3 linked regions of the Drosophila melanogaster genome follow. The protein of the gene in region 1 interacts with the protein of each later gene in a pairwise test. Each region holds a gene or a part of one and is shown on either strand. Other genes may lie near its edges.

Region 1 (4,408 bases):
AGCCGTGGCACACGACTGTTGACCAAAGAAGCGGGCCTAGAGGAGTACCGGCAGCAACTAACCACGCCTACCAGACCAGTCGAAAGCCCGGAAGGATACCTTGTATACAATGTGTTCACTACCATTACCATTACATTCAAATGAGTCCTCTAATAGGAGGATTCTCTCAATTTTTTCATGGTAATATTTGTATGTACACCAATTCCGAAATTGGAATCAGCTTGTTCTGTCATAGATTTGCATGTCCAAATGCCAAGTTCTTAGTTACTAATCTCGACATGTATGGGCTTAAATTCCACTGTGATGAAGAACTGCCCTTGAAGGCCGTCTGACGACAACACAAGCAAGACCGGCAAGGTGCACATCATTTATCTTCCATGGTCGTGGGCTGCATGCAGATATATCGCAAAGGTTTCGGGCCAAGTCCATTAGTAGCCATGGGTTACCGGTGCCGTAGAGAGGGGTCGGGGTCAAAGGGGCACTAACATACCTCAAACTATTGCCAAATCATCATCATCTGCGGCAGAGACCCAAATTAAGATCCCGAACGGTAGCAAAACAAATCGCTTTTCGAATTTCGAAAAAAAAATCGCGCACCTGGGAAAACAGCAACAATTACGAGGCGAAGTAGGGTGCACAAGAGAGACCCAAGAAGAGGAAGAAGGGATACCAGAGGAGAAAGATACGGGTTGTTGTAAATTAAATGCAATTTACGCACAAACTAAGCTGTTTTTGGGGAAATGTAAGTGAGCCAGCTGAGGAGGAGGAAGTGAGAAGAAACATGAACACAACAGGGCCAAAATGGCAAGATGGCAAGGGGCGTGGTAAGCAGACATGTGATTTTTAAAAGTGTCACTTGAACTTGAGTGGTAACACTCGCACAGTGGGTAAAAATGCTATTGAAAATTGAAGTCCAAACAGGCTTATAATATAAGGATATATAATATTATAATATAATACTGATCTTTATATCGAATATATTGTACATACGTATGTACAAAAACTGTAAGTATCAATCAAAAACTCACTCACTTTGTTTTGCCCAGGATCCACAGACGATGCCCACTTCTTTCCACAAACCGTGGACCCTTTTCCATCACTAGGTGGTAACTTGCACTCTCCTTTTACGCCTTTCGTTTCATCTGCCTGCTTCATGAAACGCGGGGCGCGGGGGAAACCGAAGCCGACGCGAGAACCGTTATAATCCACAAGCCTTGAGCAAGTTGCAAATGCGTAGTTATCTATATTTCAGATGAACCAAAGCGATCGCTAGAGAGCCGTTATATTCCGCAAGTCGCAACAAAATTATGAATTCGTAAATATCACTATTTCAGCCACAACTTGTACAAACGTGTTCCTTGTTTAGTTTAAGTAAATGCTTTTATCCCTGGCACACATTTCCCGGAGCCCATACAATATATGTAAGTTGCACACGCTGATCGCAAATCAAACTAACCAAAGCGACAGCTTCGCGCGAGAGAGAGAGCAAGGATGTCGTTACAGTTTGAGAACATTGAGAACAGTGAATGTGCAACCGTAACAGTTTTATGACTTGGAAATCTAAATCGTTTTTTAATTCGAATAATGCTGTAATATAGTTTTAAATATTAATGTTTTAAATTCTTTATTTTTCGAATCTAAAAGACAATTAAATGTATAGCGTTATCAAGAAAATCTATTTTGTATACATTTGTTCAAGTCGTATGTATTTTTAAGGAGCTAGGTCACACCATTGAATATTTATGCACACGTGAATTTAACCCACTGTGCGCAAACGAAACTAAGAGTGAGGGAATGAAGAAAGGCTGCAGCGCAGTCGGAGTCGGCGTCACACACGAAATACCGTTGTTTTTCGCGTGCGTGAGCGTGAGAGCGACAAAAAGAGAATGCCAAGAGAGCAGCATGGCAAGAGGCAAAGGCAAAAACCGAGTTTCTTGCAGTTTGAAGTGGCTTCTTTAAAATGTATAAAAGGGTCGGCACTCACAGAGTTCGTCAACATAACGCCAACGGCAGCGATTAGAGTCGCGTCTCGTCTCGTTCTATACTCCGGATCCAACGTGAGGAACAAGGATAACCGATAACACGATCGAAGGATAACCGTTAAATTCACTTTTTTTTCCGTGATTTTTGCTGTGACTTGAGCATGAAACTACCGTTAGCTTGCGCTGTGCTAAGCTGCTGCTTCTTTTTGTTGGCAGCCGCCTCATCTTCTCCAGCTGCCGATGCTTCTTCTTCAAAGCCCGCTTCATCTTCGGCTGAGACCTCATCCTCCGCTAAGCCAAAAAGAGATGCTGGCCTAAGTTTCGGAGGAATATCCAGCTATCACGGCCCTTCTCACAAATATCTGCCGCCCGCCTATGAGAGTCACCTTAACCTCGGCAGTTTCCATGGAAGCTCGGCTGGTTATTCCGATTACCCCAGTCACTTCAAGGGCGAGAGCAGTTACGGACACCACTTCGCACACGGACACTCCGGAAGCCACGGCTACGCCAGTTCCAGTGGCCATGGAAGGCCCCATCATTACAGCGGTAGTGGAGTTCCTAAAATCGAAACCTACATCGTTCAAACAAGTGGCGGCTCGAGTTCCGGTCACAACTACCATGGTCAGGGACATGGACATGGAATCGGTCACGGGATCAGTCATGGAATCAGTCACGGCCTGAGTCACGGGCATGGATCTGGATTGGCCTTTAAGTACGCACCATCTACCAGTGGAGCCTATCTGAATCTCGTTGGGAATGAACACAAGACCAGCACATATGTGGTGGCCACTCCCGAGTACTCCGGACACAGCCACGGAGCGAGGGGCAGCACCCACGGAATTGGCTACGGATCGGCACCAGCCCACAGACCCAGCTACGGTGGCCACCTGCAAAGTCACGGCTATGGCAACAACTTTGGCCATGGCCCCAGCCATCACATCGCCCATGAACCAGTCAGTCACGGACCTATCCAAAGTTTGGATCACGGTCTGGAGCATGCCTTGGAGCACGGTCTGAGCCACGCCCTGGGATTGGGTCACTCTTCGGGAGGACAGTTCCCACAGCACGCGCTGCCCCAGCCGGCGGAGGAGCATTCTGGGTACTCCTACGATGCTCCCGCCACGCCTTTTGGAAAGGGAGTGCCGTTGAGCAGTTACGGCGTACCACTCATACCCGGCTACGATCACCAGGAGTCACTGCCGGAGCCAGTGCAAGTGCAGGTGCTGGAGCAGGAGCACAAGGGCGATCGGGAGCAGGAGAGGGAAACACCGGTTTATGCTCTGGGCCACAAGGGCCTGGGTCACTTCAGCTACACGGCCAGCAAGCCACAGGCTCTCCACACCGACGTTCTCAGCTCTGCCCACCACTCCGTCCAGTCCGGAGCACCCAGCCACGACCTAGACGTCTCCAAGGCGCCTTTTAGGCCCAGTGCCTTTCTAGGGGCCAAGCACGAGTCCGGATCGAATTCCATTTCCGGCTACGACTACGCCACGCCCAGCTCCACATTCCTGCAGGCTCCTTCTTCGCCAGGCTATGACTACCAGGCTCCGGCGCAACTATACGGACCACCCGGCCACTCCGGGGACTCGGCCACGCCTATTTTCGAACCGGAGGCGACCTACCTGCCTCCTGCCAGCAGCTACGGCCCAACGGCCGCGTCCTCCCATGGTTACCACTAAATTATTAAACTAGTTTTAAGCTCTAGCGTCCAATGTATTTTTTTATCCCTATCTATTTGGTACTGCAAGCCAAGATGGAACAATAAAAATCAAGAAATCAAGAGTCACAGTGTTGAAACAATTTGAAAAGGAAGGAAGAAAGAGTATTTGCAAGTGAGATAGTTATGTGGAAAGAAAGTTCTAAGCAGTACAAACTGATGGGTTTTACAATAAAATGAAGCCACTTAATAGGCCAAATGAAAATGATTTCTTTTTAAAAGCGAAATGGAACTTTCTCAACTTCTCTTCGTGTGCGGAGGCTCCTCCCTACCAACTGGATAGATTCCAGGCTATTGGAATGCCGCACACGTCGCAGATTTTGGCAGTTTCTCTCCGATTTGTGGTTACAAATTGGTTCGATTTCGGATTTCGCTTAAAAATTGTGATTCGCATTTGATGCGTGAAACTATATCAAACTAAAGAGTGGACGGCTGTCGTGGGAGGCGTGGAGCAGCGTAGGGAGTGGAGCTTCCAAAACGACGCTGGCATGGCAATGAGTCGAATGGGCTTGGGCTGCCCAGGCTAACTGAATTAGACCTGCTGAATTAGAATACAAGTTAAAAGGAGGCGTCTTGAGTTCACAACGTGTTCACAACGTGTTCACAAATGCGATCAAGTGGATGCCATCCGCTGGTTCCGCTTGCCTATCCCCCAGTTGCACCATTCACCGCCGCGTGATGGATGGTCAACGCACTGGCCGCCGCCTCT
Region 2 (3,833 bases), on another chromosome or scaffold:
GGGTTTTTTGTTTATGGAAAGTGTTATTGTTTGACTTTGAACTTTCCGCTTGTTTGCTGTCCTTGCGCCTGTGGCTGTGTGTGCGAGAGTGCGAGTGTGTGCTTTGGACCAAAGCCGAGAATGGCCCAAACAATATAATAAAATTTAATGCGCTCATATTTCATGGGCCAACAAACGCACGCACGCACAGACAAAAAGCGGATCTCGAAAGCCCAGGGCTGGGCAAATAAATAAATCATCCAGCCAACTTTATCGCTTTATTTTAAAAAGCACTGCCAGAATGATTGAATCGTTTCAGTCGCATAAAACGGATTTACACGCATATGAGGCAAAAACACTCTTGTTTTTTCACCAAGCGATTTGTTCTCAATTTTTTCAGTTCAACTTTTAACAGCCATAAATGGGTTTTCAATAAGCCGTTCTGTATCAAAATAAAAAAATATTTTTGGTTGTACAATATATTTTCAGCTTGGCGATAAGTTAATATCAACAAATTGTCAAGCGTGTGTGATTTTAACGTTAATTGATCTGTTTTTAATTTAGCTGCTTAAACAGGCGATAGGAAAACTTTCTCATCAACTTTGATAACATTTTTCGCATTCAATATCGAGGAGTATGATAAACTTTCTTACGTATTCAGGCCCACACAAGTGGGCACAGCGCAGAACAGAAATTAAGTGTTAAAGTTTAACTTTAAGGTTCACAGTTATCAGTTTTTTTAAATAAATCAACAGAAAAAAATATAGTCAACTGTCTCAACTATTAGATATACATATATGTATATTTATAATTGCAAAAAAAAAGATAAAAAGGGTTTTGTTCAAATATTACATTCATCTTGTATATTTTTTTGATGTAATATCGTCCAAACCAATGGCCCATTAAATATATATATATATATATATATCCCTTCCATCTAATTTTTGTTTAAATACTATACATTTTTAAAACTATATTAAAACTGTATTTATCCACTATCAGTATACATGCATGGAAGCAGTTTTATGAAAACAAACAATTTCTTTTATTTGAGTACATACCTTTGTCGTTTATTAATTTAATAATCCCCGTTAAAATGATCGTCTAAATATATCTGATTTAAGTGCAAATCAAATGTTATTTTCAATAAGTTTTATCCAATGTTTGCAATCCACTCACAATAACATCCACAGAGTCACTCAAAAATGGTCTAGCTCTTGGAATAAGTATTATTTTACAGCGCAGCTTCCGTATTCTGTGATAAGTTGAAATAACTCTATATACGCCGAGTTCAGTAAACGACAAAACTAGGCGGCAATGGACGGAAATCGATGTGGTTTTGGGGTGAAGCCCATAATGACACGAAGATACCAAAAATCGAAGCTATTTAACGCGGACGCCCAACGGCGAAGGTGTTTTCACAACTATTTTTAGTAGTCCATAGCCACTTGGGTTTGTGCTCCCTTGCTGCTCGCATTTTCTCGCCGACACTTGGGTTTTGATAAGCTCGCGATTTGCACAATTAACAGTGATGGGTAGAGCGGGCGCGGGGAACACGGGGACGGGTCAAGCATCCGCGGCACTTATTGTGATTTTCTTGGGCTGCGAGCGCGCTTTGTGCATTTAATAGGCACGATAAAAGCGGCGGAGCTTTGAGCATGTACGCAGCAACAGATTTGAGAATATTTTTTTGCTATTGTTATAACAACAACAATTAGTTGAAACTTATGTTAGTTTCACACCGCTGGCAGTTTTGTTCTCACTTTTGTCAAGTTTATTGAGATTTGCAAAATTTTATTTTCAAATAATTTTCCTTTGGCGCCAAATGAGCATCCATCCCTGGCAGTGCTTCGTGATCAGCTGATTTTAGTGCCTATCAACTTATACGTATGCATACTAAAAACGGTCACTCTGCACGCCAGAAGTCATATTCATTGCTTATAAGCAATTATTAATTTCAACTAATTTCATACGTGTCTCGCTTTAGTGGGCATTATGGCCGACAATTTGGAGCCCCTGGAGCCCAGCCTGCAGAATCTCGTCGAGCAGGACTCCCTCAAGTGGATCTTCGTGGGCGGAAAAGGCGGCGTGGGCAAGACGACTTGCAGGTAAAACAACAACAACAAGCCAACTTTCTCGGTTGATCTAATTAATCTTCGTGTTAAACATAGTTCTAGCCTAGCCGTTCAGCTGTCGAAAGTGCGCGAATCCGTGCTAATCATATCCACAGATCCGGCGCACAACATATCGGATGCATTCGATCAGAAGTTCACCAAGGTGCCGACAAAGGTTGGTGGAAGAATCCGGAAATGAAGTCATTTACCATTGTATAAGCTAAACTAAAGCACATCGCAATTCCTTTTCCGCAACCAGGTAAATGGCTTTGACAACCTGTTCGCCATGGAAATCGATCCAAATGCCGGTCTCAACGAGCTGCCCGAGGAGTACTTCGATGGCGAAAATGAGGCGCTGCGCGTGAGCAAGGGCGTCATGCAGGAGATGATCAACGCCCTGCCCGGCATCGACGAGGCGATGAGCTATGCAGAGGTTATGAAGCTGGTCAAGGGCATGAACTTCTCGGTAGTCGTCTTCGACACGGCGCCCACGGGACACACGCTGCGTCTGATTGCATTTCCCCAGGTGGTGGAGAAGGGGCTGGGCAAGCTGCTGCGGCTCAAGATGAAGGTGGCGCCCCTGCTGTCACAGTTCGTCTCCATGCTGGGCATGGCTGATGTGAACGCTGACACACTCTCCCAGAAGCTGGACGACATGCTGCGCGTTATCACCCAGGTCAACGAGCAGTTCAAGAACCCAGTACGTAGAAACATGTATTTAGCTCGTACAACGCCTAATCCGCATTCGTCCTTCGGCAGGATCAAACTACATTCGTCTGCGTGTGCATAGCAGAGTTCTTCTCGCTGTACGAGACGGAACGACTTGTGCAAGAGCTAACCAAGTGCGGCATCGACGTCCACAACATCATTGTAAACCAACTGCTGTTTCTGCAGAACTCGCACGACTCGTGCAGCATGTGCGCCTCCCGCTTCAAGATTCAGGAGAAGTACCTGGACCAGATTGCCGACCTGTATGAAGACTTCCACGTAACCAAGTTGCCGCTCCTCGAGAAAGAGGTGCGCGGTCCAGAGAGCATCCGTTCTTTCTCCGAGAACCTTATGAAGCCCTACAACCCCAAGGGCGAGCCCAAGGAATAGGATAGCCCGTCCAACCCTTTACCCATCCGTTTGTAAGTTTCTTCCTTAGTTTGTGTGAACAGAAAGTGCGTAAAATAAATTAAAGTTGAGGCAGCGATCCCCGAAGGGATCTGCTTCGACGTGTAATGCGTAGACAACGCTTAACGGATGCAGTATTCCAAACTGGAGAGGGTTACAACGAATGATACTTTCAAAGACCGCCCCCGGCACGCTCCATTTGCATTACGGTGGGAAAGTTGCTGCCTTGCATCTGCCTTTTGTGGTCCAGATACAGCCGTGCGTACCGCAGGTACTCGGTGTTGCCCTGCACAATAGCCGACATGAGCAGAAGGAACTCATACAGGTTCACCTTGCCCTGGGCATGGACATCAATGTCCCGCAGGACATCGTGCATCAGGTCGACGGGCACCTCCTTTACGCCCATCGTTTTCATTGCCTTGCAGCAGTCTGCAATCGACACGTACCCCGTATTGTTATCATCCATTTGCCTGAACTGCCCGGCAAACTTGCGCACTTGGCGCACGCTCATCTTAATGGGAATGCTCATCTGCGAAGCGCTCTCCTTGGTCAGCTGGCCCATCTGGGAGTTAAGAAAAGTTCGCGTCTGGCGGATCTGCTTTTTAATTTGATCTCGCGACCAGT
Region 3 (5,057 bases), on another chromosome or scaffold:
ACCAGCGTGCCAGCCAGGTGACCGAGGAGGTTGGTCCCGTCGACATATTGATTAACAATGCCGGTATCGTGTGCTGCAAACCCTTCTGGGAGCTGCACGATCGGGTCATCCAGAACACGTACAACATTAACATCATATCGCACTACTGGACCGTGAAAGCGTTTCTGCCTCACATGATGCGCAATAATCGTGGTCATATCGTTACTGTGGGCTCGGTAACTGGAATGCTGGGCACCTACGGATGCAGTGACTACGCGGCCACCAAATACGCCTGCATCGGTTTCCACGAGAGTTTGCTCACCGATCTGAAGGCCCATGGCTATGATCAAATCCAAATGAGTTTGATCTGCCCGTACTACATCAACACGGGCATGTTTTCGGGTGTTCGGCCGCGGATGATGCCCATGCTGGAGCCGCAGTATGTGGCGGATCGCATCGAGAACGCCGTGCGCTGCAACGAGGTGTGGTGCGTGCTGCCCAACTCTATTCGCCTGCTCACTCCTCTCAAATGGTAAGTAGTCTATTTAACATAGTTATATACAATGTAATTAATGCTGGTTTTCTCAGTCTTTTGCCCGCCAAAATGTGCTGGGAGCTGATGTCGCGTGTCATCCGTGGACCCGAGTCTATGATGATGTTTCAGGGACGAGGGCGCGTCGCCGCTGGTTAAACACACAATAGGAATCATCATATGGAATCCATTACCTAAGCTTAAGTTCTTTTTCAAGAGGCGGCATCGTTTCACCTATAATTTTACAATAAACTTAGTTATTTGATTTAATGAACTATTTTAATAGACTTACACCTATCATTAAGGCTTTAGTTCCTGCTAATCCCGCACTGTGGTCTGTTGGTAATAATGCGGCGCCAGCTCCGTCAGCCACTCTCTCTTGATTACGGTCACGTAGTTCATGAACAATTTCGTCGTTTGGAGCAGTTCCCCATAGACCACGTACTGAGCTTGAGGAAGTGTGTAGAGAGTGGAGTTCGGATGAATGGCCAGTTCAGTGCCGCTGCTGATTTGTCTATAAACTCCAGAGTGATGCAGATAGGCCACCTGTGTGAAGAAGCCGGCGGTGATGCACTTGCACAACTTTTCCACATCGCCCTTGCACGAGAAGATTGGAATGCCGTACTTCTTTCTGGCCACTGTGATGAGTTGCTCCCTCAGCGAGTGGGCCCTCTTAAGATTCCTGTAGATGAGGAAGTATTGGCCACAGAACTCCTTGGTCATGCCCTCCTCCACGAAGCCAGTGTAAGCGTTCAACATCGTAATAAAGTCCCCTTCCGCAACTTCGAATTTTCGATGTGCAATGCGTCCACTTTGTTGGGCAACCGCTGAAGCTGGGCGCGAAAATATAGACTGCACCTGCAGCAACGCAATGATGGTTATGATCTCCTCGGAGCAGCCCATCTGACCGGAAACATAGAGCATTTTGGAGAGCATAGCGCTGAAGGGGAGTTCGGCCAACAGGTAACCCACGGGCTTCGTCAGATTGCCCTGCTCATCGATGGCGTCCAAGGCAAATAGACTCTCCAGTGCGGAAAGTAGATTCTGTGCCGGTGGTGGCGATGGGAAATCAAAGCGCAATATGTTCCCGATGCCCAGCGCCTTTAACTGCAAGATAGCGCCGCTCAATTCGCTGCGTCGCATTTCGGGTGGCTGCCGAGGAGCTAGTGCTTCATAGTCTGATTTAGTGTACAAACGATAGACCTTGCCGGGACGCATACGACCCGCTCGTCCTGCTCTCTGGATGGCCGACGCCTTGCTGACGGGCACTATAACCAAACTGTCACTGCAGGTTTTGGGATTGTACCATTTTACCTTGACGTAGCCGCAGTCTATCACATAAACAATGCCCGGAATGGTGATGGAGGTCTCTGCTATATTCGTGGCCAGCACCACTTTGCGGGTTCCTTTGGGCGGGGTAAAGAATACCGACAACTGATCAGTGCTCGACATACTACCATACATGGGCAGCACCTTGAGATTCTCCTGTTCCGAACTGGCGATGTATTCGCGCAGAAGATCCAGCGCCTCCAGGACTTCCTCCTGGCCAGTTAGGAAGGCCAAAATGTCGCCAGGCGGCTCCTTTTGATGCAGTTTCCAGACGGTCTCCACAGTTTCCTTCACATAATCGGCGCAGGGTTCGTTCAGATAGAAATTACTCACAGGATGCATGCGACCTTCAATGCTTAGCTTAACGCTCACTTCGCCCGATCCTGGCCAGCTGAAGAACTCGCTGAAGAAGCTTGCATCTATGGTGGCCGATGAAATGATGAGCTTGAGCGAGCTGCGTTTGCGAAGGATCTTCTTGAGCAGTCCCAAAATCATGTCGGTGAGCATATTCCGCTCGTGCGCCTCGTCCACGATGATAACACCATATTGGGTGAGCAGCGGATCGGCTAGGACTTCCCTCAGCAAGATGCCCTCGGTCATGAACTTGATTTTGGTACAGGAGCTCATGCTTTCCAGGAAGCGAACTACATAGCCCACCGTGTCACCTACCAGTTCGCCGCGTTCCTGTGCCACGCGATTAGCCAGCGTAACCTGGAAATGAAGTCTTTAGTTTTAGATTTTATAGTTGCTTTGCTTTAGGATTACTTACGGTGGAAACGCGTCGTGGTTCGGTGATGCCAATGAGTCCCTTGGTGTGCCAGCCCCATTCATACAAATACTGTGGCACCTGGGTGCTCTTGCCACTGGGAAATATGAAAAACCACAGAGTTAGAAGCATTACTTTGAAGCTCATGGAATTCCATACAAACCTGCCTGTTTCACCCACTAGTATGACCACTTGATGCTTTTCCAAGCAGTAAAGTATTTGATCCCGGTACTGACGAATGGGCAAACGTTCCCTCTGTAATAATTTAAGTTTAATTTGTTATTCTAGCAAATGTTTACGAAATATTTTGTAAGCCCACCTGCTCCATGAGTCCCATATTGTGATTGACATTGAATACAAAGGCGGAGGACTGCTGTTCACCACCGGCACTATCTGTGATTGCATCGTCCGTCTCGGGTTTTAGGAACTTTGGCTTAAAAGTGCTCATTTTCAATTATTTACTTCGTTATAGATTCAGTTTTGAAATTAAATAAACAGCTGATGGACTCAATGCATTGGTGCAAAATACCAAAGCGCGCAAAAGAATGTTAGGAATTTCGTTTAATATAAACTAATGGTCACACTTTTATTTGGCGGGAAATTGCATTGTATTGAAATTTCGATTAACGATAACCATCAACTATATAATAAGTTGAATTGCCCAAAAACCTAAGTATTTACTTAATCACTAAGTATACAGTCGCCTAGTTGAGGTCTATAAGAAAAGAGGATAATCAAATTTCACTATATTTTAGTTAAGATTTAAAAATGCAAAATATTAGTTTTTAGAAATTGTTTGGCTAGTACCTCAAGCTTATACCTTTGGTACCCACAAATTATAATATATTTGATTTAGTCGACCATTTCACGAGCCCCAATGGTGGCAAATGTCCATAACATTCACCTGTATTATTCATGCACATGTTTTTGTCCATTTTGCGGGCACGTTGCAGCACCGACATGTCCCCTATTGCTAGTGAAAATAACTCTAATTGCCAGTGGCAAGGCCACTTTGCTCCTCTGCATACCCAGCAAACTCATTATGTACTATAAGGTCGCCCTGGCCACGTGTGTGTGTCAAAAGTGTCCCCCGAGTTTTGTGCAGCTGTCGGCGACAGAAGCGCCCGGCCAATTGCTTTTGAATAAATATTGTATTGTATCTCTCGAGCAACAAAACACACACATTGTTTTGCCCGCTTGTATTTTTTTTTTTGTATATATTTTGATTTATGCACCGTCAGTGGGTATTATATGCATGCCGCCAATATTGGGACGAGTAAGATGGCCGTCGATTCCACACATGCAGGACCCCCGTATTCTGCATTGACCCTGACATTAAGAACGCTCGCTTTAACTTTAACCCCATCCGATGCGATCCGAACCCAACCACCAATTTCAAGCCAAAGCAAAACACGTGCCCGACATGCACGTTTGACCAACCACATCCGCATGCCAGTGCTGAAACAATGGAGCCCAGCTCCACTCCACTCCACTCGACCCGAGCCCAGCCCCCATGGCGTATGAGTAATCCGAGAAAAGCTAATTAAAGGCCAGCGGCGAACTTCATGCCAAGGACGAGGCGCCAAGTCGCCAAAGCCAAGCGAAAGCCAAAAACTCTGCGAGCAGTTTGTCAACACCGCCGTCCGCGGAAAGTGCTTCAACTAAAAGGCACTGAGAAAAAATGTTTTCACTTTCCACTCAAGCTGATATCAGCATCACAGGTAAAGAGGTATCTTCGCTACATGAGAAAGATTATAGTTTCGAAAAGTGTTAAGAACGATGCTTCAGTATTTAGTACTACATCTTAAATTGCAAATACTAAAATATAATAATTTCCGCTGTGCATATGGATTAGTCATTTCATTTGCCTTCTATCCCACTTAATAGTAGTTAAGTGAATATTTAGTTACATTGCGGGTTATGGGAGGCTGTCACATTTTCGCACAGTGTGTATCTTGTCCGTTTGGCGTCCAGTTCCAGTTTCGGTTGCATATAAATTTTAATAGATGCGCCCAAGGCCAGAGTTTTACTGTCAAACGGCTGTCGGCACTCCACTGCCGGTATCCAAATTCCGATTCCCCCGTCTTTGGGCACCTGACTAAATGCCACAAAACTTAAAGGGCGGCATGAATGCTAACTGTTATTCCGGCTTTTACGAGCAAAGTTTCCTTGGAAATGCCAGTGGAGGGTACGTTCCTTTTGTTCTATCTACGTATTATAACTATAGTTTCGCGTTGACGACCCTGATTACAAACGCCGGAGTTGTGCGTCCTCGACACCCAGCGAGTGGTGCGAAAAGGGGCTGGCGTCATTGTCTTTGCGTGCCGCGAATTTGCGTGATTCATGATGCATGTGGCAGGGCGGCAAAGTCGCAACTCAAATGCAGCACACACAAAGTGCACACGAAAAAAAATGGTGACGCTTAATTGGAAATTAATATGGAAAAGTAAG

The links. The genes of interacting proteins can lie anywhere in the genome.
Region 2: the proteins of CG11382 (region 1) and CG1598 interact in a two-hybrid assay, tested with the Drosophila melanogaster proteins (one large-scale study listed by BioGRID).
Region 3: the proteins of CG11382 (region 1) and CG3225 interact in a two-hybrid assay, tested with the Drosophila melanogaster proteins (one large-scale study listed by BioGRID).

What each region holds. Positions count from the first base shown.
Region 1 is NC_004354.4:1,207,954-1,212,361, forward strand, and holds CG11382 (uncharacterized protein), read left to right. Parts: upstream 1-2,016; 5' UTR 2,017-2,143; coding exon 2,144-3,661; 3' UTR 3,662-3,900; downstream 3,901-4,408.
Region 2 is NT_033778.4:7,537,732-7,541,564, reverse strand, and holds CG1598 (uncharacterized protein), read left to right. Parts: upstream 1-1,868; 5' UTR 1,869-1,974; coding exon 1,975-2,087; intron 2,088-2,150; coding exon 2,151-2,268; intron 2,269-2,352; coding exon 2,353-2,793; intron 2,794-2,852; coding exon 2,853-3,191; 3' UTR 3,192-3,333; downstream 3,334-3,833. Other genes in the region: Gpo2 (glycerophosphate oxidase 2), read right to left, coding at 3,382-3,833. UniProt on the Drosophila melanogaster protein: ATPase required for the post-translational delivery of tail-anchored (TA) proteins to the endoplasmic reticulum. Recognizes and selectively binds the transmembrane domain of TA proteins in the cytosol.
Region 3 is NT_033779.5:4,815,113-4,820,169, forward strand, and holds CG3225 (uncharacterized protein), read right to left. Parts: upstream 3,134-5,057; 5' UTR 3,055-3,133; coding exon 2,926-3,054; intron 2,862-2,925; coding exon 2,770-2,861; exon of another isoform or gene 2,704-2,769; coding exon 2,610-2,703; intron 2,552-2,609; coding exon 830-2,551; 3' UTR 804-829; intron 780-803; exon of another isoform or gene 746-779; 3' UTR 671-745; coding exon of another isoform or gene 568-670; 3' UTR 512-567; downstream 1-511. Other genes in the region: CG15629 (uncharacterized protein), read left to right, coding at 1-511, 568-670.